3 linked regions of the Styela clava genome follow. The protein of the gene in region 3 purifies or fractionates together with the protein of the main gene of each other region. This does not show direct contact. Links are inferred from orthologs where the notes say so. Each region holds a gene or a part of one and is shown on either strand. Other genes may lie near its edges.

What was found. The genes of interacting proteins can lie anywhere in the genome.
Region 1: the proteins of ras GTPase-activating-like protein IQGAP1 (region 3) and myosin light chain 3, skeletal muscle isoform-like purify together in Homo sapiens (affinity purification with mass spectrometry; 3 studies listed by BioGRID and IntAct, with this or other methods). This does not show direct contact. The link is inferred for Styela clava from reciprocal best matches to the Homo sapiens genes IQGAP1 and MYL6B.
Region 2: the proteins of ras GTPase-activating-like protein IQGAP1 (region 3) and E3 ubiquitin-protein ligase HECTD1-like purify together in Homo sapiens (affinity purification with mass spectrometry; 3 studies listed by BioGRID, with this or other methods). This does not show direct contact. The link is inferred for Styela clava from reciprocal best matches to the Homo sapiens genes IQGAP1 and HECTD1.

What each region holds. Positions count from the first base shown.
Region 1 is NC_135259.1:2,976,408-2,983,920, reverse strand, and holds myosin light chain 3, skeletal muscle isoform-like, read right to left. Parts: upstream 2,421-7,513; 5' UTR 2,313-2,420; coding exon 2,310-2,312; intron 1,979-2,309; coding exon 1,945-1,978; intron 1,737-1,944; coding exon 1,593-1,736; intron 1,435-1,592; coding exon 1,261-1,434; intron 1,008-1,260; coding exon 930-1,007; intron 821-929; coding exon 774-820; 3' UTR 664-773; downstream 1-663. Other genes in the region: uncharacterized protein LOC120337727, read left to right, coding at 3,573-3,594, 3,696-3,962, 4,997-5,287, 5,656-5,739, 6,239-6,277, 6,695-6,997, 7,496-7,513. UniProt on the Homo sapiens protein: Regulatory light chain of myosin. Does not bind calcium.
Region 2 is NC_135255.1:18,151,104-18,159,749, forward strand, and holds the start of E3 ubiquitin-protein ligase HECTD1-like, read right to left. Parts: upstream 3,164-8,646; 5' UTR 2,791-3,163; coding exon 2,651-2,790; intron 78-2,650; coding exon 1-77. UniProt on the Homo sapiens protein: E3 ubiquitin-protein ligase which accepts ubiquitin from an E2 ubiquitin-conjugating enzyme in the form of a thioester and then directly transfers the ubiquitin to targeted substrates.
Region 3 is NC_135257.1:7,266,861-7,274,420, reverse strand, and holds the start of ras GTPase-activating-like protein IQGAP1, read left to right. Parts: upstream 1-4,374; 5' UTR 4,375-4,503; coding exon 4,504-4,681; intron 4,682-5,389; coding exon 5,390-5,489; intron 5,490-5,707; coding exon 5,708-5,942; intron 5,943-7,437; coding exon 7,438-7,560. UniProt on the Homo sapiens protein: Plays a crucial role in regulating the dynamics and assembly of the actin cytoskeleton.

The DNA of each region.
Region 1 (7,513 bases), on a different chromosome or scaffold from region 3:
AATCAGACCAGCTGAGCTTTGTATGAAAAGCATGTATTTGTAATAAACCGGCTAAACTTGACCTACAATTCGAGTGATTATATAATATCTGCCCGGGCTGTTTGTCCAATATATATTGTGCTTCCAACGACAGAGCCGAGACTTCCCATGGCACATTCTCAATTTATCTGTAGGCTTCTGTCACTTTTGCGCTAATCGTATATACTTAGGCAATCGCTAGTTTCGCTACAAAAAAAAATTTTTTTTTACCAAAACAGCATGTTTATCTGCATTCATTGCAATATTTAGATCAGGCCTGTGAGTCTTTAATGGTATCAGTCAGTGGTGTAAGAAGGTTACAGACCATTGGTTTATACATTGAGCACATGACATTACGTCAAGTCAGAAAGTAGGTCGGGAGTTCCGTTGCCACTCGAGCCGCTGAGGATTGAAATGACAAGAGGATGCTATTGCACTATGAGTAAAAATCTGTTGTTAGTGTGTACTCATTTTCCCAATCGAAATGACGGCAGTCAATTTATACCCCCTGCCCTTTGTTAAAAAGTATTCTCCAATCAGGTTCTGCTAATGGGACAGTTCTGATAAGAAGCAACATGGTTGCTGACCAACGTAGTGAACTCATTTTCTGGCATATTGTTTAGATTAGAACACATATACACATAATATATATATATTCTATTTATTACAGAAAATTATGAAGCAATCAATTTGCATGTAAGGATATTGAAGGAAAGTCGAGTTGTGAACATATCAATAGCCTGGATTTTTTAGCTTCATTTCTTTTCAGGTTCTCCTTCCGAAAGTAAAAATTTGCTGAAAGCTGAAATATAAAGATTAAAATAATTTTTTTTTGGAAAGTTGTAAAGATCGCCTAATTTAATTAGATTACTGAAGAACAAAATATTTTGAAAGTTGTCAAAGATATTTACCTTCGTAATTCATTTCTCCAGTATTGTCTTCCTGTCCTTTCATCATCAAACTGACCTGAGCCGATGTCAGTTTCTCTCCTAGTAAATTTAAAAAAATGTAAATTTAAGCTATTATCTCGCAAAACCTTAAATAACGACGAAATAAACTGATATTATACAAATATATGTAAATAGAGAGTAAGATATGAGAAGAGACTGTAGTTAGCCAATCATGTCTGTTGTTGACCATGCCGTGCTAGTAGTATAAAGGCCTTACACATACAAATTGTTTACTTAATTAGCTAGAATTATTTTATAAAGGTGCTGATTTCTCAGTTGTGTACGGCTTTACCCAAAGTTGTCAAAACATGTCGAATTTCAGCGCCCATTACTGTTCCCTTGCCGTCTTTATCGAATACTCTCAATCCCTCCACAAAATCTTCGAATGTTCCTTTTTGTCCCTCTTGGATAATTTTTTGAAAAATTGGAAGAAATTCCTCAACTGTTATTCGTTTTGTTTTCAGGTCTGAAATAAAAAAAATAAAATTATAATGAAAAATAAATCATTTGACGGTATTTCGGACGTGTATGCTTACTTCACCACGCAAATAAAACCTGTATTATTAAAAGCAACAAATATAAACATAATAATAAGAAGTAAATAATGTTCTTTGGTAAATATACCATCGGCAGACGGATTTCCCATAAATTTCGTAACGTCTTCGTTAGTTGGATCTTCCCCCATAGCTCTGGTAACATCACCGACCTGATGATATGATATTTTTCCATCGCCAGTTGTATCAAAAAGCTCGAAAGCTTCTTTGATGTCTGTAAATAAAAATCATTCTCTGATTTTATGTTGTGTTTTCAATCAAATGCGTATAATAAGTAAATAGAGTTATTGAAATATCTAGCCAAATACATTATACGCTTCCTCATATTTTATTAAAGAGCTCATGACTTCATTAAATTCTCACACTTAGAAATGAATATACTTAAAAAATCAAAACTTGGTTCAGTATTAGATGATACCTACTTTCAATCTTTTTTTCGGAGAATTCAACAGCAGCCTAAAATCATAAAATGTTAAAGTTAATAGTATTCTATGTTGCAGGTACACACATGCGTCTAAGTTCCGAGGTTATGCAATGCTTATTATGAACACTCAATTCATTTTTCTGCACGAATAATTCTGTACAATTTTTCTTGTTTCTAAACGCCCGAGCCTATGTTTCTGACAGTTTCTCAATCAAAAATTATCATTTAGAATCATGCTTCGTGTATGAACGAACATATGACCAATAGCCCAACTCTGTCAAATTGCGTCAACGAAAGTAAGTCCATCAGACCGCCTTAGCCATCGTCAGATACGAGTAACCCATGGACTTGTATAGTACTTACCATAGTTTAGTATTAGGAATAGTATTTGTTGCTTTCCTCTAGAATGTTTTCTTTGCTAACTGGATGACACTTCTCCCCAACCTGTGAGTTTTATACTAGTGAGACAAAAGCGCGAAAGCTCCTAAGGTGAGAAAATTGATGTTTTTCTCGCTAATCGATACTTGAGATCAGCTGTAAAATTAATGTCTGACTTTTGATGCGTTGTCATCACTTTTGTATTGTTGGTGTTGTATTCTCTGATGTGTTATTCTTGAATGTTTTGATCTTGGCATATATACGAGATTGGCGATGATGTGCTGATTTGGTCGAGTACAATCATTTTACCGTGGGGAAGTCCAAGGTGATATATGTCTTCGCTCCGTTCATTACGATGATTTAAGAGTAATATGCTATAAGGTTTTGTGGATCACAAAGTTGACCATCCCTGTTTGTAAACCCCAGGAGCTCATAAAGTTGACCTTTAAGCTGGCACATGGTAACAAAATATGACGACCAGTGCCAGAGCCTTCTCTCTCTGATTGAAAATACATCGCGATACTTACACAAAAAACAACATACTTACAAATAAATAGTTCCAAGATCGTCGAGGAGAAATTTTCAAAATGCCGTGAGCAAAGCTATGCATATAATTGAAGTGGCAAAATCATTTAAAACCGAAGACCTGAAAGTACCGGTCAATGATTTTTATTCAGCATTGTTTCAAGGGTAACAAAGGCCACATAATCCAAAACTAGATTATATTACGCATGATAGGGCAAAGATAAAATAACGCTCTGACACATTACACCGCCAACTGAATGGAACGAACCGTAAAGACATCGACAAAACGACACATTTGTTCCAGTCTCTTGTACAGTTATGAAATGCGTTCCTGTGGTGGATTGGCGAGCTTTGTTCAGTTAGTCGCCTAATTGACATGAACTTTAGTTCAGATTTGTTATATATCAAAGCAAAGGATTTTTAGATCTAGCTTTGAAAAGTATTTTTTATACATTGAAAACCGTTTGTGACGTTGTAAAACTGACCAAATCTCATATCTAGCGAGAGATTAGAATAAAACAAAATACGGAAGCTATTAATGATTTGTCTGTTTACACCCGTACACACCAACACTTTTATTGTAGACGTATAAATGTACATGGCCAGAATATATTTTCTATATACGATGTGACTCAGAATTGCTCAATCGATTGCAGATCATATTTTTTGAGTGAAGCTTCCATAAATATATTAGCTAGCAATGCTTTCGTATACAATGTGCTGATGGATTTTCAAAATCAGGAAGGTAATTAGCCAACATAATTAAATTCGACTAGTATATGTTACGTTTTTTTTGTGACTTCTTTTAGCCTTTGCTGCTTTTATTTTCGTCTATTTTTTAATTAGGAACAATGGTGGAATTGGCTTGCGATGGTGATAGGATTTCATTCACCTGGAAAATAACATACGGAGTCACCGGATATTCTTTGCTTGTAAGAAACGCAAAAGATCGGAATCCTCTTGTCATTCACGAAAAGTTTTCTGCTGGTGACTGCCGTTATGAAGTAAATATGAATGAGCGATTACGATATGGTCAGGTATGTGAAGTTAAACTACAAACTTATGGACCTGGCGAAGAATTCCAAGAATCGAACTGGAATGTCTTCGTGATAGGTAAGTTCAGGCAGTAATTCATTGCATATCCATTAAAAAAACTCTCCTTTCGCAGACACGAAATAGCATGCCGCATTCTTGCTTTGGTTTTCACTTTTATCGCGTAACTTTATCGCCAAGTTGGTACCTACACCAAAGATATAGGATTTCAGCGGGAATGTTTATCCAAGATATCAGGGAGACGCTTTTAGTGAAAAGGGCAAGAAAAATCATGAAACATGTCTCACGGGGCTACTACAATCCAAAAACACTTTGATCAGGGTCCCGCTCACCGTCCAAAGTCGGCAAACCTAGTGCGTTAATACGATATTGGAGGATATAATATACTTACATTGGCGGCAACCTACCTAGGTTCGAATCAGGACCTGATTCATTTTTCTACATTCTTACGTAATATAGTTTGTCTGTGCCACCCTTGCTTGATTTATGAAGTTGTACAGCGCATGTTGGTTAGAGTTACTTGCTAACTTACTGTTATAAATTGATTTCGAAAGAACTATAAGCGATTAGGGAAGGGAATACAAGAGAAAAGTGCAGAAAACGAACTATTGTGTGATTGGGATGCCATTCCTGTGTCTTAAAAACTTTGCAACTGCATTACTCTCCATGTTTTCATTGACATATTATGCCCGTGAATCTCTGTTCTCTGTTATGAACTTTATCAGTTCTCGTAACAGGAATAGCCTGAAATATGAAACCAGTAGTTCGTGTATTTCTCTGAAAGTTACAAAATATAAACCCAATGTAATATAAACCCTATCAGCGGTAATACAGCAGCAGAAGTCTCACTCATATGGAATAAGAAAAGTGATCAAATCTATTTGCCGGACTGATGTTTTCCGTCTGTACTTGTTTATAAGGTTTAATATTGTGTATTTTTGCTTTGAAAGTAGCAAAGCGTTGTTTTCAATTTTGGTCGGCACGCGGGTGAATTTTGTTGTTAAATTTTGGCAAGCGAGCCGAAAAAGGTTGCTCACTCCTGCCCCCTGGGTGGGTGGGCTCATTTCTAATTTGGGGTATGTTTTTATTTTTAGGTGGCCCGACGGTTGCGATCAATCCAACGGCAGAGATAAACATTATGAACCCGCGGCGTAGTGCAATTGTGAATTGGGATGAACCACAGGAGAAGCCGGATTACTATGAAGTCGTGGCTATACCAAATATAGGAAAAGCTAGAAAACAAACTTGTCCCTTTTCTCCTGTAATCATGAAGAGATTAAAAAGCGACTCAAAATATCAATTTCTAGTACATGCCATTCATAAGGAAAACAACAACCCGCAGAGTACCATCGGATGCAAAACAAATACCGTAACAACCCATTCACGTAAGTCAAAATCTATCTGATGCAAATCGGTATTTAAGATTATCAGTATTTATTCATCGAAAAAACTAAAAATTCGTTCACATTGAAGAAAAAAAGTTAGTGAATTGAAGGTAATATAGCAAAGGTAGTAAGATTGCAATAGAGAAATGAAAAATGAAAGAACGTAATTGTCTTGTGTCTTGCAAATGAAACATTAATATATATACCACTATTTCTGTGAAATATACGTGTGTGGATGACTGGATGTTAGGGCGAACCACTAACACCGCTTGCTTTGTGGGCGCGATCAGCTGTTTTCTCCTCCGATTGTAAGATATATCTGAAGAGTTTGGTAATGATTTTGTTTTCAAATTTTTCCCTACATGCAGGAAAAAATACACCCGGAAAATTTGCAAACTTTGCCGATATAGGACAACAATCCGTATTCAATTTCGAGCATGCACAATTTGCTAGTGAGTATACCTTTTATTATACTTGAGACCTATCATGAATTAAAAATTGTGTTAACCCAACACAATAGCGTGAGTTGAAAGGTACTTAATGCTTAAACTTTATAAATTATTACAACAGTTCTTCATTCAAAAAATATTGAATTGCTAAAATTATTTAAAAATGAATAAATTGTAGAAGGTTTTTGAGTGTAACAATTTTGTTTAATCATATAATACATTTATAATTTAAGTTAATTTACGAACGTATGTTAATTCCTATTTCCTTAATTCTTCATCATTTTTACGTTTATATATTCCCAGTGTATGAATAAGTCGGTAATTAGGTCAGCGTATAAAATCCAAATTGTTTTTTAATTTCTAGTTTCTGAGAAGGCATTCCATTGGAAACGGCAGTTAATTGTGTCTGGTTCCTACGCTCGTGTTGTTTCACTACGTGATGTTAGACATTTTAATATATTCTATTCAAGTATAGAATGTAATATTTTTTTTCTTTCTTCAGACAACAGTCAAACCATAAAAATCAAAAGTCAAAATATGAGTAAGTACAATTCTTCAAAGCAATTAATATTATTTTCTACGTCACAGATAATTATTTTCAGCATTATTTCGCGCCATATTTTTGTTTAAAAAAAGATATATATTTATGTAGACCTGCAGTAGTTACAAAATTACATACATGCAAATATAAAGTTTTTACGTTGTACGAATAGAAAGAGCCATTTTTATGTACTAATAACGTTCGCACTCATTATTTACCAATATCAGATATCGATACCGAGTATATATCAATAGCAGGCATACTCAAATATATATATTCATACGGAATGATAATAGCACTTAATAAACATTCAGTTCAAATATTACTTATGCTTCTAACTTGAATTGTATCATTGTAAAGTAAATTGTTGAATTAATGTTACGACAAATATATTTTTCAATGATTCATTTTCTTCAGTCAAAGCACATAATACAGAAATGTTGATGATCACTGACGAAATAGTTGGCGAGCAGGCCACTGTAATATGGGATAACCCAGACAACTGCGATGAGTCAGGAGACTTTGAGATTCTTCAATATAATGTTGATGTTCGAGAAGCTGGCTATATGATGTTTTCTATGCCATTCTTGGAGAATACACAAACACACACATTTCCAATCAATTTGGGAAAATGTTACACAGTTAACATTAAAACAACTTACGAAGACATCGATGCAGAAACAACTGAGCACTCTTACGTCAAAGAAATTTTTTTTTCGAGTGATTTGGTTTCGTTAGATATGCTTTTCTCCTTGTTTGAATAGTAACTGAACACATTTTTCATAAAATCTCTCAAACATTTAGGTTTGTAGGCTTTTATTTTTCACAAAAAATGATATGATTTAACTTGGTAACAATTTCAAGACTACTTACGAGCAATGAAAGCATACCTGCATTTGTTTAATGTCATTCAGTTACGTGGAATTCATTACATTATAGCTTATTAGAATGATTAGGCCAAAACACTGCGACTATTAGGTCACACCGTCCGAGAGTCCAGTGTTTGAAAAATTAGTATCAATTTTGTTCCGATTGTGCTTTCAAATCAATGACTAAAATTGTGGCGATGACAATCATTGGATTGAAATATTTGTAACTAATTTGGTGTGCCGAAGTTGCCTGTATATGCACAGTTAGTTTTGATATTTACAACGACTTCAGAACATTAAAAAATCAGGCAACTACAATTTCTGAAATATTTTTTTTAATTTCACGCAGGACCAACAAAGCCGACAA
Region 2 (8,646 bases), on a different chromosome or scaffold from region 3:
CTTCCAGTACATTGTCCGGCGCTGTCTCGTCCAGGAATATTTTACAAAGAGCGGGAAGAAAGCTTCGTGGTGGACACCTAGAAGAATAAATAAACAGTGAATTTGTGTATTACAAAAACGAAAAATTGTTTTGAGGGTATGGACATTTTAACGCAATAGATAACAAAAATGTTTAACCTGAGTGATTCAGGAGTCTTGCTGCACACTAACACAAATATATTTCTGTAACGTTTCGTCTGACCAAGGTCAGACTTCTCCAGACATACATAGTTCAACTATAACAAGAAAAGCATATGAATCCGGCGGCGCAAGAGCATAGAAGCAGGATAAGTAGTTAGTCTCGCAGAAACCAATTAAGTGTTTTCATGCCTCTAGACAAGGCAGCATATATACATAAAAGCTACCTTCTATTCAGCATACCATAATACATGCTTTGGTTATAAATTTTTAATTTTCAACCGGCAATGTCTATCCAAATTCATTGATCGATTTGTATGTGTATATCAAATATATTGTTATGTAGGCATTATTGGAAGATTTCTTTTAGATAAATACAACCAAAGCCTATACATACCAAAGTACATACCAAACATATATTGATATCAATTTACAATCAATACAATAGCTTCAACCGAAGACAACTATTGTTTTAAGGATGATAAAACTTGATATCGTTAATTAAACTGTAGGAAAGCCAGTCAGACACAAGGAACACCTGTACTTATATTGGTCAACTTAAAACGAAGCATATTTGGGTTATTATGAACCGCAACATTAAAATGATCATCATTAGAAAACCAGTAAGCTGTGACTACTCCTCTGGGAAGCGCAAAAGGTTTAATTGGTTTAAAATAAACCTATAAATCATCCTAAGTAACGATTTTTATTAATCCCCAAATAAAACTTACAAAATTTATGATTATTTTAAATTTATTTTTGATCTTTAATTGATATATCCTAATTTAGTGACAAATACAAATATTGACCCACAATTTCTAAATTTCAACACTTATATAAGATTAAGCATCAATAGAAAAAACGAGAATATCGGTCGGAGACCGAAGACTTATCGATAAAAGTTGGGGATCCCCCATTCATTCACTCAGACTCTATAGTACTCACCAATTAATTAATAACTCGCAAGTTATATGACATAATTCATCCAAAATCAATAGGCTTTTGGTACGAGCTATGGTGAATGCACATGCAAAATTTGGGGCAGATTAAACCTCGCTTTCGTGAGATATCGCATGCATCTAACAGACAGACAGACAAACAGACAAATACCCATCAACATACGTACCAATCTTATTAAGATCGATAAGTAATGACATTAAATAATATTGATATTGTATAATATGTGCCATTTGTCCCACATCGATATTATTAAGTACAGAGTGACCCAAAAAAATTAAACCCCTACATTGTGGTTTGAATTAATGAGAAATTTCCAAGTGCAGTTTTAAGTATTCTGTGGCGTCTGAAGCTTCTTCAAAACCATGGCGGGATTTTCAAACCATGGCCATTATTTACCGATACTTACTTTTTAGCTGCCACAAACCAATGACGAGATGCCGTTACCATGGCAGCAAGTTGAGAACCAATGGCGGGTTAAATTTTGCTGCCATAAGCACGGCATGTCGACTATAATGGCAGGGCTTTCTTGACGATGACATAATTGGGTAAGTTAGAACATTTTTCTTATACAGTTTTGATGGATTTGGGGTTAGGTTTCAGGTTTAAGTAGATATAATTCCGCATGATAAACTAATATCTGGTACATGACTTTGTGAATAAACCGCCATATAGCAATAGCGCCATATCCCATGGCAAGGGCTGCCATCGGTTCGTTCGTGGCAGGATCTGCCATGAAGTGGTAAGAATTGCGACTCGGAATTTTATTTGGATTGAATTCTTCGGCCATCTCTATTTTTTTTAAATCAGCTGAAGGCGACAGAACTGAGAAATCATATCGCAGTGTGCAGCATGTCAATAAAAATTAGTAATGGATGAAACTAATGAACAAAAAACCCAATGCATAAACACATCACTTTTTAAATAAAAGAGCTATTTTTTTATTAGGAAATTCGGCATTAAAATCAAAAAATATTCATTCTAGTTCTCAGAATAGCCTAAGAATATATCTTTGACAACAAGGACAAGATTTTTTTTATGTCTATGTGTTTAGTGAATGACACACAGCAACTACAAAAATATTTGTCGTGCGCATCCATTATATACAGAATCAGAAATAGACTTATATGGCATCCTGTGACTCAACCGACGTAACATTAGTATGACATGCTGAGTTGGGTAATCACATTGGTGACGTTATTGCTATCTTGTGACATACAATATGACACCTTATGTTAAAACTTATGTACAATGCATGGGAAATTGAAAAAACTACCGGCATATAACGGGCTTCCAAGAAACAGAGAAAATAAGAAAATCATATATTTTTGATTTTCAAACTCCTGCATTTTTTTATTAAAATACTTTGGCAAATATCGTTTCAAACTATGATTAAAAACCGGCCCTAAGGGCAACTAAGATAAACCATAAACCACCAGCAGTTACGTGATACGAGCAATATGTTCAAATTTCACTCTGGACAACCATGTTTGAAAGTAAAAATAATCCAACTTACATTTCAAAGCATCTGTCCACATTATCAGACATAAGCAGAAGCATGCATAGTTGTTCTAATGCAATTAGTTGCATATCACGTTCCTCTCCTAATCCCATCTGAAGCCATTCCAGCAAAGTATCTGGATCAACATCTGCCATGGTCGAAGGGTTGACGATTTCAAATCAGAATTTATTTAAAAATTCTATCTATGTAATTCCCAATAACCAAGTTTACTTCTGCGTTTTTGATTGAGATAATCCAATAAATGCAAGAATCAATCCGATAGTTTACAATAACTTATTAGATAAGCCTATGACTTATATAGGCTTGTTACAGCACCAGTTTCCAATAATGTGATATCCTGCCTTGTATATGAAGTTTGATATGGTCCAATGTCCTTATGCACTGTGTGTGCACAATCTCTTGCGTCGAGTCACAAAGACATTTTCACTGATGGTAATGAGGACACTGAATGTGAACCTCGGTGTTGCTCTGTATTGATTTAACAGTTTGCAGACAATGATAGTAAAATAAACTGTGTATTAAAGTTGAAGAATAATAGTTATTACTGTTTGTATTGCAGTTTAAGTATTTGTAATAAGATCGAAATTAATGTTTTCTTGCTTCTAAGAAAAGACACTCAATAATCAAAAAAAATATCAATCCAATTCCAAACCACCCTACAGCAGCGAGGAGTCCAGCAATCTTCTCGCACATGATCATCTCCGAATGGGATTTGAACCTGCAAACCCATGAAGGGAAATCAGAGATGCAGTGGCGAGCGTATTCCTAACGCTTAGCACGATGCGCCACACTGGATAGGATTTACATATTTATCCCGGGGGAGAGGAAAGCCGATAAGACGGCTTATTCATATGGCGAACCACGGCCTCTCGTCCGGTTACCATTCCAAGTCGGGTATGGGATTAGTTTTACTGTATTATTTGTTTTCGGAAGCATGGACTTGGTGGTGGACCAGACTGGATTCCATGGCAGGTGCACGCCCGAGGGCGCTAGCGCTCCGCAAAAATGCACGCGAGCGAAATCAATTTTGCACGCCGAAAATTTGCAATTGCTCACCAATGTAAATCGGTTTAAATGGTTTTAAAATCAATAATCCAGTAATATAAAGATGCCAAAATATTATAACTCCACAATTGTCGACAAATACCAGCTTGCAAGATTTGGTCTGATCGAAATATTGCGAAGCAAAAAGACCATGGACCTTTCCCCAACCTTTGACCCGCGAAAAATTCCTCTCATTGTTACGTCCTTTTTTGCATCTTGCTGATTGGCCAATGTCACGAAGTAAACAAGGAAGTCGATGCTCGGGGAAAGGTCCATATCGTGTTGAATGATAGGAGATAGGAATCCCGTGAGAATAGTTATGGACGAAAAGATCGCCTCCGCACCAATGGCCAAGTACGGCTCTGATTCAGCGTATTTTTCATACAATAATTTTACACGAATGTACTGAACAGTACCGGTATCTAAAGTTGCTCAAACACTCCCAAAATTAGTGACAAAGTATGAAAATAATGTTTGGGGTCAAAGGTCAAACGTCCATTTTGCTCTAATTTGACGTATTTTTTATCCATTAATTCTACGTAAAAACACTACCAAAATTAATGACAAAGTATGTCCATTTTGCTCTGGTTCAACGTATTTTTTATCCAATAATTTTACGCGGATGTACTGAACAGTACCGGTATCCAAAGTCGCACAAACACTCTCAAAATTAGCGACAAACTGTAGAAATAATGTTTGGGGTCAAAGGTCAAACGTCCATTTTTTCTCTGTTTCAACGTATTTTTTATCCGATACCGGTAATTTTACGCGGATGTATTGAGAGGTATCTGATGTCAAAGTCAGTTGCACGCGAGTGCAGTTGTTTTGCACGTCGTGAGCTATAATTGCACGCCAGGAATTCTTATTTGCACGCGGGAATTTCTGATTGCACGCCCGATTTCTCGTTCAAAAAGGCCATGAAATCCAGACTGGGTGGTGGAGGAAGCCGTAACCGACCAGCGGTTACGTGAACCACCCAACGACGGCGAGGAGTCCAGCAATCCTCTCGCACATAACCATCCCTGCATGGGATTAGAACCTGCGAACCCACGCAGAGTAATTAGAGGTGCGGTGGCGAGCGTATTCCTAACGCTTAGCCCGTTGAGCCACACCGCCGCGCCACTGCCGAGCTCATACTTATACAGTTCTGCAGTTATACCACTGTCTCACTGATTTCATTATCAGTTTTATTAATTTGTTTTTATCATTCATTTTATTGCTTGTTATGATGATTATGAAGTCGAGATAAACTTATACCTGTATACAAGAATACGGTACCGTACCGTCATGACCGTACTGTCTGGCTGTAGGATACCGTACAGTCTGTGAGTCTGGCGATGTCAGGGTGTGGAGAGAAAACAAACATAATGTTCTCCTTTAACCAGATCCCGCCTTCAAAACAGTGATATTTTTCATAAATCTCAACTGAACCATACCCCCCTAAAGACTCAACTCCTTATAACCGCAACACAAACGCGTGGCACAGAGGAAAACAAAGACAAACAATGACAAAGAAGCGCAACGAGAAAACAACCGCGGTCGCCAGCTGACGCAGAATGGCGAAATAGAATACAAACAGCAACGTGACGAAAAAAGCTGTGACGTCATATTTGTGATAGCTAATCACGAAAAGATTTTGTGCATTAGCGGAGATTTGCGCTAATGATTTGCTTTCTGCGGGACTAACTACTTATCGCTTTTCAATGCTTTTGCGACGGTGGATCCGTATGCATAAAATGCAATGATGCTGTATCAAAAGTAAATATAACTATCCGAAGTGATCTTGCTGCACATAACACAAATATATTGCTGTAACGTTACAAAAACATACGGTATTCTTGTTAGTGTGCAGCAAGACTCTTGAATCATTTAGTGGAGATTAATATTGAATTACATACTTATATCGCGAAATAGGTGTTTGTTTTGTTATCATATAAACAACGAAAATGGATATTGAATCTGGACAAGATGGTAATTACTCATTGGGATAATCATTTCGGTTGGCATCGACATTCGTCTACACTTGAATAAACAGTTTTTGTGAAGACAAATGAATTCACAATTCAACTGATCGGCATAGTTACTTCTGTGATATTAATGTCACGATTTTGTTTGTCTATTTTATAAATATACATTCATCACGAACGAATTTTTGGGCAAATTATACAAAGACTTCGACAGACTATTAAAACTCTGAGCGTTGAGTAAAGGTTTCGCGATCGATCGATTAAATTAGTATCCCATTGTTTTGGGTACTGCATAAAATGCTAAAATATTTTTTAAACAGTTATCAAAGCAAACAGCTTATCTTGTTGTTGAATATTCATATATATTGAACTGCGGCAAAAAACTTAACATTTACAATTTTTCCGTACCGCGAGTGGGCAGCAAAAAAACGACATGAAATATAAATAGCGTTGCCAGATTTCTGGAAACAAATATGAGCAAATTACCATTTTTTTCGAATTCTGATATGAGAACATACCGAAAATAATATTTCTTTGCTATTAAAATAATTTACTAACTTGTTTATCTATCGAATCACATATATAGCCAAGCGTGGATCACGATGGCGACGAAATAAGAGCTGAAGAAGTAAGATATCGGAATTCAAAAACAGGTTCCCAAATGCGACCCGCGCGAAGTTGTACCGCTTATAATGCATGAAACAAAAATTTCTCGGTACTCCCAGAGTAAGAAAAATTGGTACACATACTTCGGGAGTACCAATTTCTCTGCGCAGGTATTTATGTCGTAACAACGGCTGTTATACTTATAAATTTATGTTACCCGTCTATTGCTTTACGTAAGAATAGAGGTAGACACTTCTCGCTACAATTTTGTAGGCTGCAGTTTAGGTATCTTCTGAACCGAGGTTGGCGAACATGAGTGATTGTTTTAGTATTTCAAAGGAAAATCGCGCTGTGATGATGAAGAAGAGTTGACAGATCTTTTGTACAAAGGCCCCGTCTCTAGTGCAAAAATGTGAGATTTGAGAATAACACCCCGCCACATTTTTAAACAAAAATTGGTAATTATCCAGTTAGCGTTAGTATTGTGTTAAAAATTTGAATTTCCGGCGCAATCTGCATTCCTGACCCTATCTGAATAATACCTAATTTTTTATTTTGAGCTTTTGCGGGGATTAGCTTTGTACGAAAGATCCGAGTTGATCCCGAGCGTTTATTACTTAGGCCTGTATATTTACAAACTTTAAAAAGCATAAAGTACACTTTAAGTCTTTAACGATTACAAAATTGAGTTTTTAAAAGTCAGCAATTTTTCATTTAAGTACGGCGTGGGTTTTTTCCCCTGATAATTCGGGGCCGAATGAGCAAAGATTTTGGGAATTGCTGCCATACCCGACATGAACTGGTAACCGGACTAAAGATCGTGGTTAGCCGTGTGATTAGGCTGTCTACTCGACCTCCCTTTTCCCAGAATAAATATGAAAATCTTATCCAAACATAAAATTCCGCGGGGTGAGTCTGCGTGTTCGTACAATTCTCCGTAGGAAATGCTGCGGCGGAAAATTTCGCCGCATGAGAAATCGCTGCAAGAGCATTTTGCTGTAAAGCAAGTATTTGTAATAATAAAAACCGTTGGGTTTATAGGTTTAGGGTATGCTCTTAAATAACTAATCTTTTTAAATGAAAAGGTCAAAAACATAACTGTTTTTATCACAAATACTTGTTTTACAGAAAAATGTATTTGCGACGATTTTGCATGCCGCGAATTTCCCCATGCGCCGAATTTTCTTGCGGCCAAATGTTCTGCGGCGAGATTTCCTACGACGAAATTTCTTGCTGCTAATTTTCCTAGAACCATAAGTCTGTAAACCCGCCAATATCCGACACAATCCACTAATTTACGTACTACATCGGTAGATACATCCGAGGTTTGTCCAACGACATTTTTGATGATTTTAGTTGCTGTGTGGAACGTTCTGTTAATCAGTAATTTATTTCTTCACCACGCTGAAAATACCAACTATACACTTGTGGCTATAAGTAAGTATATTTGGTAATGACTTGAATTAAAAAAAACGTTGAAAAGTTTGAGGTTGTAGTAAAACGTCATGGTACCAGAATCGTGACGTCATAGTACCCGTTTCAACTGGCGAGTAATCAGTCAGTAATTAGTAATTTATTTTTTCATCATGCTGAAAATACAAACTATACATGCTCAAATTAAAGAAAATATAATAAAAATCGCATAACAGGGTGAAAGGAGACGCCGAAAACCAAAACTAGTTATCGAGCGGCGGCGCCCTTGGGGAAAATCTTACAAAACGTGATAAATAATATAAAGTCGAACAAAATCTGTTATTTAATAAGTAAAATAAAAAACAATAGGTATGTTAAGGCGGCCTGGTACATACAAAACCGTTTCCAACAAAAGAAGGTTTCCTTTCAACGGTTAAATATAGCAATGGGAAATGATTCAGCACTATCCTAACCTCTTATCTTTCGACATACGCGCGTAGTGCGCGTAGTCCCTAAGTGCTGAAGTCAGTGATATCTTAACAACCACGAAACTGCTTTCAAATACCCAATGATTTGGTCGAGATTTATTTTATTTTTCTCAGCGTGCGACCACTCTTTCGAGCCAAACCTATATATGTTGTCCTATATATTAAATTTTCGGTGCTCCCGAAGTATGCGAACCAAGATGGCGGACATCGGAACGTAACATGGGTAACAGGTTAGGGTTAGGCGATAATTTTTCCTTATTTGAGTCCTATTATCAGTTCGAAGACTAGCCAAGAGCTTCCCGTAGTATTTATACCTAAAATTATGGCCTAACCCTAACCTAGTACACATATTACATTCTGATGTCCGCCATCTTGGTTCGCATACTTCGAGAGCCCCAAATTTTCCCTTGATTGATTCTACAATATTTGATACTCCCGTAGTATGTGAACCAAGATGGCCGACGCAGGAACG
Region 3 (7,560 bases):
AGCCACTTTGGTTGCTGCAGCAATGCTCAATTTGATCAGATTGCAAAACACTGTTCACACTGCCAAGTAATTCTTGTTCTCGATTTGCTATATTTAGAAACTTCCAAGGCTCGTTTGCGAATTGTAGACCGCAGAGGCATACAGTAAAATTCAGGACGTACCTGTTTCATTATTTCGAACTATCGTTCGCGGAGTTTTACTAGTGTATAGAAAGTAGATATCATAGAAATCACGAGGGTCGAGAGCGGTGGTTCTCAAACGGTGGGACGTAGACAATTTTTTGAAAGGCGTGGGGCTAAATAAAAATAATTGTGAGATTTGATCTTGCCCGCCTATTTGTTTTTTAAACTTTTCATTTATTTATTATTCACGTTCCATCCCCATATTTTCAACGTGTTTTTGCATAAAACATACTTTCGCCTTATTATCTGTTACTTGTAGATTATTGTTAGCTAGTTATTTTTAAAGTGGGGCGCGAGACTTGACAAATTCTAAATTGGGGGCGCGGCCTAAAAAGTTTGAGAACCACTGGTTTAGAGGAAAAAACGCAAACCGACAGCGTATAGTAGTATTTTGCTGGTGGAATATGTCATTGTCATTAATCTATTGTTGTTCCATGACAAGCTACATGTTGCGACAAGTAGGAGAATATCGCCAAATAAAACATCACTTAGGAAGATTGTCAATTTGCACTGTCGTTCTGAATAAGTAAAGGAAACTGGTTAAATTTGTATTTGCCGACGATACAACACAACCAGTCAAAGAATGTTTGCTTAGTTCTTTAATTTCTCATGGAAAGTATTTATTTTATAGACATGTTGGAGCGTCCCGTTTTCCTTACTGTGTGTTTAGCCAACAATGCGACCGGTTTCGTTCAACTTTTAAGGGTTGCACTGGGAAGCCGAACTCGTATCCAGAAAATACATACATTTTGTACATGTGAGAGGAATGTGAAGAGCGTATGATCATTTATTACTAAGGGAAAACTCCAATTTCTTTAGCGTCTGCTTTATGTTATGGAAAATGAAAGAGTTAGTATAACATGGCCTGTATATATAAGGATGGAGGAAAGACCTAGCATTTAGCCGAATTGTCTTCCTATGTTGTCGAATACACGCTAGCGCTTAGATTTACTGATTTATGCTCAGCAAAGTGAAACTCTTTGCGTCATATTATAAAACCAACACCATTTATAAAAGGAACGTTTAAATTATATTTTAGCCAAATGATAGACTTGTGCAAATTTTCGATTAATGTTTACTTTGAAATTATCGGGATGAGATTGACTTATGGCAGGCATGACTTTTCTGCAAAGTAGAGTACAGCCAGTTGTATCGCTATACCGCTTGCGACCTCAAGAATGGTCGACCTGTCGGAATATGTCGAAGACATTTGATGGATATTTTGGCAATAGCTATTTGAAATTGGAACTGCAACTTCGAGTCAAACATTTATCAAAGCTGAGGGTTCGCCCAGTAAACGGTGCTTTCATATACAACACGGTAAACTGCTTCTGAGATGCTAATCGCCTTTCATACTCATTCGTCGATGAAGATTTCTTGTTGACGAAGCTTGTTTCTTCAAACGTAATATGTATAACATAAGAAACCCAGTTTTAAAGGTTCATTGAATTCTTATCAGAGTATATCCATCAACTGTCGATCATGCTAGATTTTGAATGAACCGCGTCTAATTTGATGAATATTTCGAATTGCCCGAACAGTATGTAGTTGTAATCGTTTTCGTTTGAGAAATCCGAGCGGAACATTGGTCAACCACGCTTGTGGAGTGTATCTTATCCGCAGGAGAGTATGCCTCTCTTATTGGTACATCATGGACATGGATCGCATATCGTTATTTACGTATTTGTGTAAGAACATGTATCAAAGGTCATTTAAGGTCTTTCCTCTTTACTTCTCGTCTTGTGTAGTCGTTTTATCAAAATGAAATCCCAAGAGCCGCCCACTTTAAAGAATTTCATGTTCTTTCGCCAAGTCCCTCGTGGAAATGTCAATTTATAACGAATGGTATTAAATAGAATACGGGATTAGAACGCGACTTGTACTTGGTGTGTATGATATATGAAGACGATAAATTTGTTGAAATTGAAAGTTCAATTATTGAACCGTTTTAGATAGACTGATCGTGACCGCAGCGCATGTGAAAAATGATTACTTCATTTAGTCGTCGATGGCCAATTTTCTGATCTGAATGGAAATCAAGTCTGTGCGACAAAATTAGTAGCATTTATAGAATAGCACAGTGTCAACTTAATATGAGAAAGCTTTTGCAAGTATAGTCAGTAAGTGTACTTACCGGTAACTGCGAATCTTAGTATAATATTGTTTCGAATTAATTCTCGTGCTTTATCAGTACTGACTAAAATTTATGGACGCTTGTACGTGACTTAATTAGATGTAGATACGAAATGAAATCATATGAGTCAACCAAGTTTCAGTTTTAGGAACGAGAATAATATGTCAAGAAGAACTTTTACTGACACGTCTGTGGCGTTAAATTTGTTGGATTTATAGACAGTCACGTAGTATGGAGTAATACAACTGGACTTAGAATATTCTTGGGTTGCTAGCTTCGAAATCAGTAACATCAGGCAACGGAATATCGTATCGCACATAACATTTTCATTTCAGAAAAAAGAACAATAAAAACGCTGACATTTCCAAATTGCAATTTTCATTGTTTGATTTTCTGACCTTATGAAAAGTGACAGAAATGGAATAGTGATGTCATACAGCCATAACGAAGACAATAAAATTCAGCGACATATAACTGGACATTTTGTTTTCTATTACAAAGCCGAGCGCAATTATTCCTATATTCAACAGGTATTATTATTTCACCAGCAGGTGTCAATGCAATTAGCGTTCGTTCAAAATTTTGTCCGAAGTCCAAAATTTAACAATTTTCAAGCATGGTTGCAATACTTATTTCTGTGAAGTCTTTGTTACAACTTACAGCCCTACACATTCGAGTGTGCCATCATCGCCCATCATTATTACATTTCAATTGGTTTTTGTTCATGTATTATTGACTGTAAATAAATCTGCTGTGTTGCTAATTTTATTTCCACAATAGATATAATGCTGCATTTAGGAAATTCGAATTGCGCTTGTTATTTTGGTAATGAAAAGTTTATTTCCGAATCTTCGGACTTGCGTCCCAGCTCAGGCTCTTATTGTAAAATATATTTCTGCTGTTATCACGTGAAGGTCTACCACACTATAGCGCGAGGTCTACCTTAAGCTGGTACTATAGCGTGAGGGGACTGTTAGGCTTAGGGTGTAACTCTTTCTGCAAAATTTTGTATTGCGCTCAATCGATGTTAATGAGGTCGAGATGGATGGAATGCGAGAGACTGCACCTGAATAGTCCGCGTATACCTCACGCCATAGTCTCGCATATCTGTTTTATAAGGAAAGTCCTTGGTTCTTATTTATAACCTGAATGTTATAGTTATAGGTTGATAAAATTTCTCCTCGATCGCAGTCGGTTTCTTTCATATCGTAGAGACGTAGAACATACGGCCGAATGTATCAGAGATAGATTCATACGTTAGAAGTAGGAAGAATGAAACAACGAGCCGGTCAAGCACTTGTTTGTGTTTGCTCTCTCTAATTATTTAGAGACCAAACAACAAATAGATCCGGTCTGTTTATTTTCCCCGCGGAAATAAACTTGTGAATTGAAGTCGGTCGGGTTCTCAGTAAAAGCGGATTTCCCAGCAAGACGTGCTTTGTATTTTGCATTTTCTCTTTGTTTGCACAAGACTAATTGGCAGATTATCAGCGTCTGTATTCCGACGCCATAAACGAGACACCAACTGAGAGTGGTAAGGAAGGATATTGTGGAGTAGAAAGGAATTTTACTGAAACATTTTTGTTTATGGAATAGAAATAATAAGGACGAATAACATTTATTTAGCTTACTTAATTTAGATAAGATGCATTAGCAAATTTTGGGGTAAAAAAAATCATAGTTTGTTTGCAGCTCTTTCTAGAGTAGTATATTGCAGGCACAGGGTAATTGGCGGTGTTATATTTTATATAGATTGAGTTTGACATAGAATTGGCAGAATGGTGGTATTTTTATCCTTGTTTCTTCTGACCTGTCACAATTTAGTCAAAGTAATCAATTCAAATGTGATACAAACATAACCAAGTTGATCAATCGATTAGTTTATACTATTTTTACCCTTCCAATAGTTCAATATGTTCTGAAGAATTAAACAATAATAAAGTTTAAAGTATTTTTCTTGTTTGTGATAAATAATTCAAGTTTGGCTTCACTCTCTTGAATTTCAACTTGTTTCATATATGTATTCAAATATATTTTACTTTGTTCGTTTTATTGTAAAAACAGTTCAAAATGAACCTGTTCCAAAGGTTGTAAAATTTAAATTGTAGTAAAGTAGATATTAACAAAGAACATAACAGACATAAAGTCTGCAAGCTTATTTTTGGGAGAACAAAAGATTTTTAAAAAATGACCTCAGAACATCCTGTACAAAATGGAATTAATGGTCATCACACACCTGCGCCACACCCCCATGCCCAACAAAGTTATCATCCTGGACCACGTAGTCGAAGCAGTAGTACAGCCAGTGATAAATCACAACAATTAACAAGGAAATTATCTTTCTCACTACGCGCTTCTGATTTTGGTAGGTATATACAAATGAACTCAGGAAGGACATTGTTATTAAAAGCTGTTAGTTTTTTCACACAAATCATTTCAACAATTTTTGTTTATACCATTAGTTTTTGTATTCTGTTAGTCAATGTTTATCATTATTCATTACATGAGTATGCTAATGTGAGGCACTTTATTATTAAGGTTTAAATTAATTTTTGTCACTTCCATGTGCGGAATAAGAATTTTCATTTTAGCTATCCTACTCATGATGACACTTCATGATATAACCAAAATTTGAAACTAGCCTATTGTTTGTTCACTATAACACCAATGAAGACCATGGAGCATGTTAAATTCAATGTTAGATGATTTTTCTGTGCTTTTTTTATTTAAAAGACAATGTCAATATGAGTTATAGCTTGATTATGTGTATGTTTCTGGTGAATTTATGGATTTTAGGATTTACATATTATCCCGGATGAGAGGAAAGATAATCCACCACAGGATTTGAACCTGTCAACCTACACAGAGTGATATGACTTGCGTTGGCAAGCATATTTCTAACACTTAGCGCGATGCGCCACACTGCCGAGCCTTAATATTTTAGAACTGTTGTTATTAATATTGTTTCTAATTCACGATTATTTAATATAACGGGTCGAGGTTATGACTGTGAGAATGTATTGTTAGTACATGAAAACAAAGAAACAATTTCAATAATTTCAAATTTTCACAGGCATCACCAAAGATGAACGTCTCACGGCTGAAGAAATGGACAGCCTGCGTAACCAGGCTACAGCATATGAATATTTGTGCCATTTGGAAGAAGCAAAAAGGTAATAAGACCTTGTATATTTGAAGTATCAAATACAGCTTCCAAAATATGTTTTCAAATTCCATATATTTGTACTCGTATATACTAATCCTAATCTATGCATATTTTGTATTAAAAGTATGGCTAATTGGCAATTTGCTCTGTATGATTTAGTCTTACTGATTAATAGTTGCTGTCATTTCAATATTCCAATTTTACCATTTTTCTTTTGTTTTCCAGATGGATAGAAGCTTGTATAAATGAGGAATTACCGCCTAGTGTCCAGTTGGAAGAAGGTCTCCAAAATGGTGTATTCCTTGCAAAACTTGCACATTTTTTCAATCCTAAAGTGGTTCCGATCCGAAAAGTGTACGACAAAGATCAGAAAAAATATGAGCAGAAAGGTCTCCATTTCAAACACACTGACAACATTAATCATTTCTTTAAAGCAATGGAAGAGACTGGATTACCAACGGTACGCTTTATTATGTCATTGAGTTGGTTAGTTAGGATAGGATTAATATATTTATCCCAGTGAATAGAAAAGCCGATATGAGGGCTTAGTCGTATGGCAAACCACAGCGTCTTGTCCTGTAACCAGTCCATGTCGGTTTTAAAATTAGTTAGTTTGAACATGATCAATGAATGCATAGTGTATATGTAAATCTGATATTCAGATTAAATGTAGGTGTGCAAAAAAAAGGTAGTGTTTTGATTATTGTATTTATTGATAATATTTAATGCTTGGGAAATTCAGATTGTGAGCTGAGTCTAATTCTTATTAATCTTAATTCAACAAATGTTATTTCAAAGTATTCAAACCATGCCACTATATAACTAACTTTTGTGCAATACACTGTCAGGTATCATCAAAGTTGTATAATGATATTCCACTTTAGTAAGAACTGTTTCAAACCTCCACAATAAAAGATTTGTCCCTTCCATACTCTGGAGATCTTTACTTTTAAACGCCCTTGTTTGAACCAACAGCATGTAACAGCGTAAATTCCAGGTTTTCAATACAATAAAACGATTGTGTAACCACACCATTGTGTGGTAAATTGGCCTTTTACCCAAAATGCGTTGGGCCTTTTTAATGTCATCTAGGTTGCTAATATTGTTATATCAATTCGCTTGTGGCGAAAATTGCTAGGCCCACTGACGCTAATAATTCTAATATTAGATTTGTCTGACGATGGCGACATTTTTATTATACGCTTTGTCATATTATATTTTTATTCTTCACTGTGTTGCCATCAGATAACTAACATTATAAGCCTACTTCCTTTTTTGGTCAAATAATATAAGTTTATAGTATGAATGATGTAATCGGCGCTTTATTGGCTCCATGCAAGGGCGTTTTTCTTTAGCATCGATCATGCTTCCAGTCATTTCCTGTTTCAGCCATTGAACCACAAATCTTTGTCATTCTGTTCTGTTTGCCAATGGTTTAGCCTGTGGCCTTTCTACACTTTGATTTATATTGATTTCATATTAATAAATGATAAATAAAAAATTGATCATGATATGTGTCAAGCTAAAACGTTTCTTAATAAGACATTTGAAGTTCATGAATATCTTTGTAGATTGATATTCAGAATTTGGCCCATCAGTTCAAATACTCATTTATAATAAAGAAGATTGAATTCTGATAGAATTCTGCTGTTAGACACATGTATAAAAACTGATTGCAAAATTGTATTTTTGTAGATTTGCTTTTTTGAATACATTTGATTGATGCTCAATGATGCAATATATTCCGAATAGCCTAATTGAAATCTACGTTCCGATAGTTTTGATTGGTTTTCTTTTTTGTCAGTGTCAAAAGTTACACAAAGTTTATTTTTGTTGTGACCATTAGATGTTGAATGCTTATGAATGTCAAGTGCATGGATTATTCAATTTTTTTAAAAATAAGTAATTTGCTAGTTAAAATATAGCTAATTGATAACTTGGGTTTTCTTTTTCAGATTTTCTACCCTGAAACAACGGATATCTACGACCGTAAGAACATGCCGAAAACTATTTACTGTGTTCATGCTCTGAGTTTATTTCTTTTCCGCCTTGGAATCGCTCCCCAGATTCAGGACTTG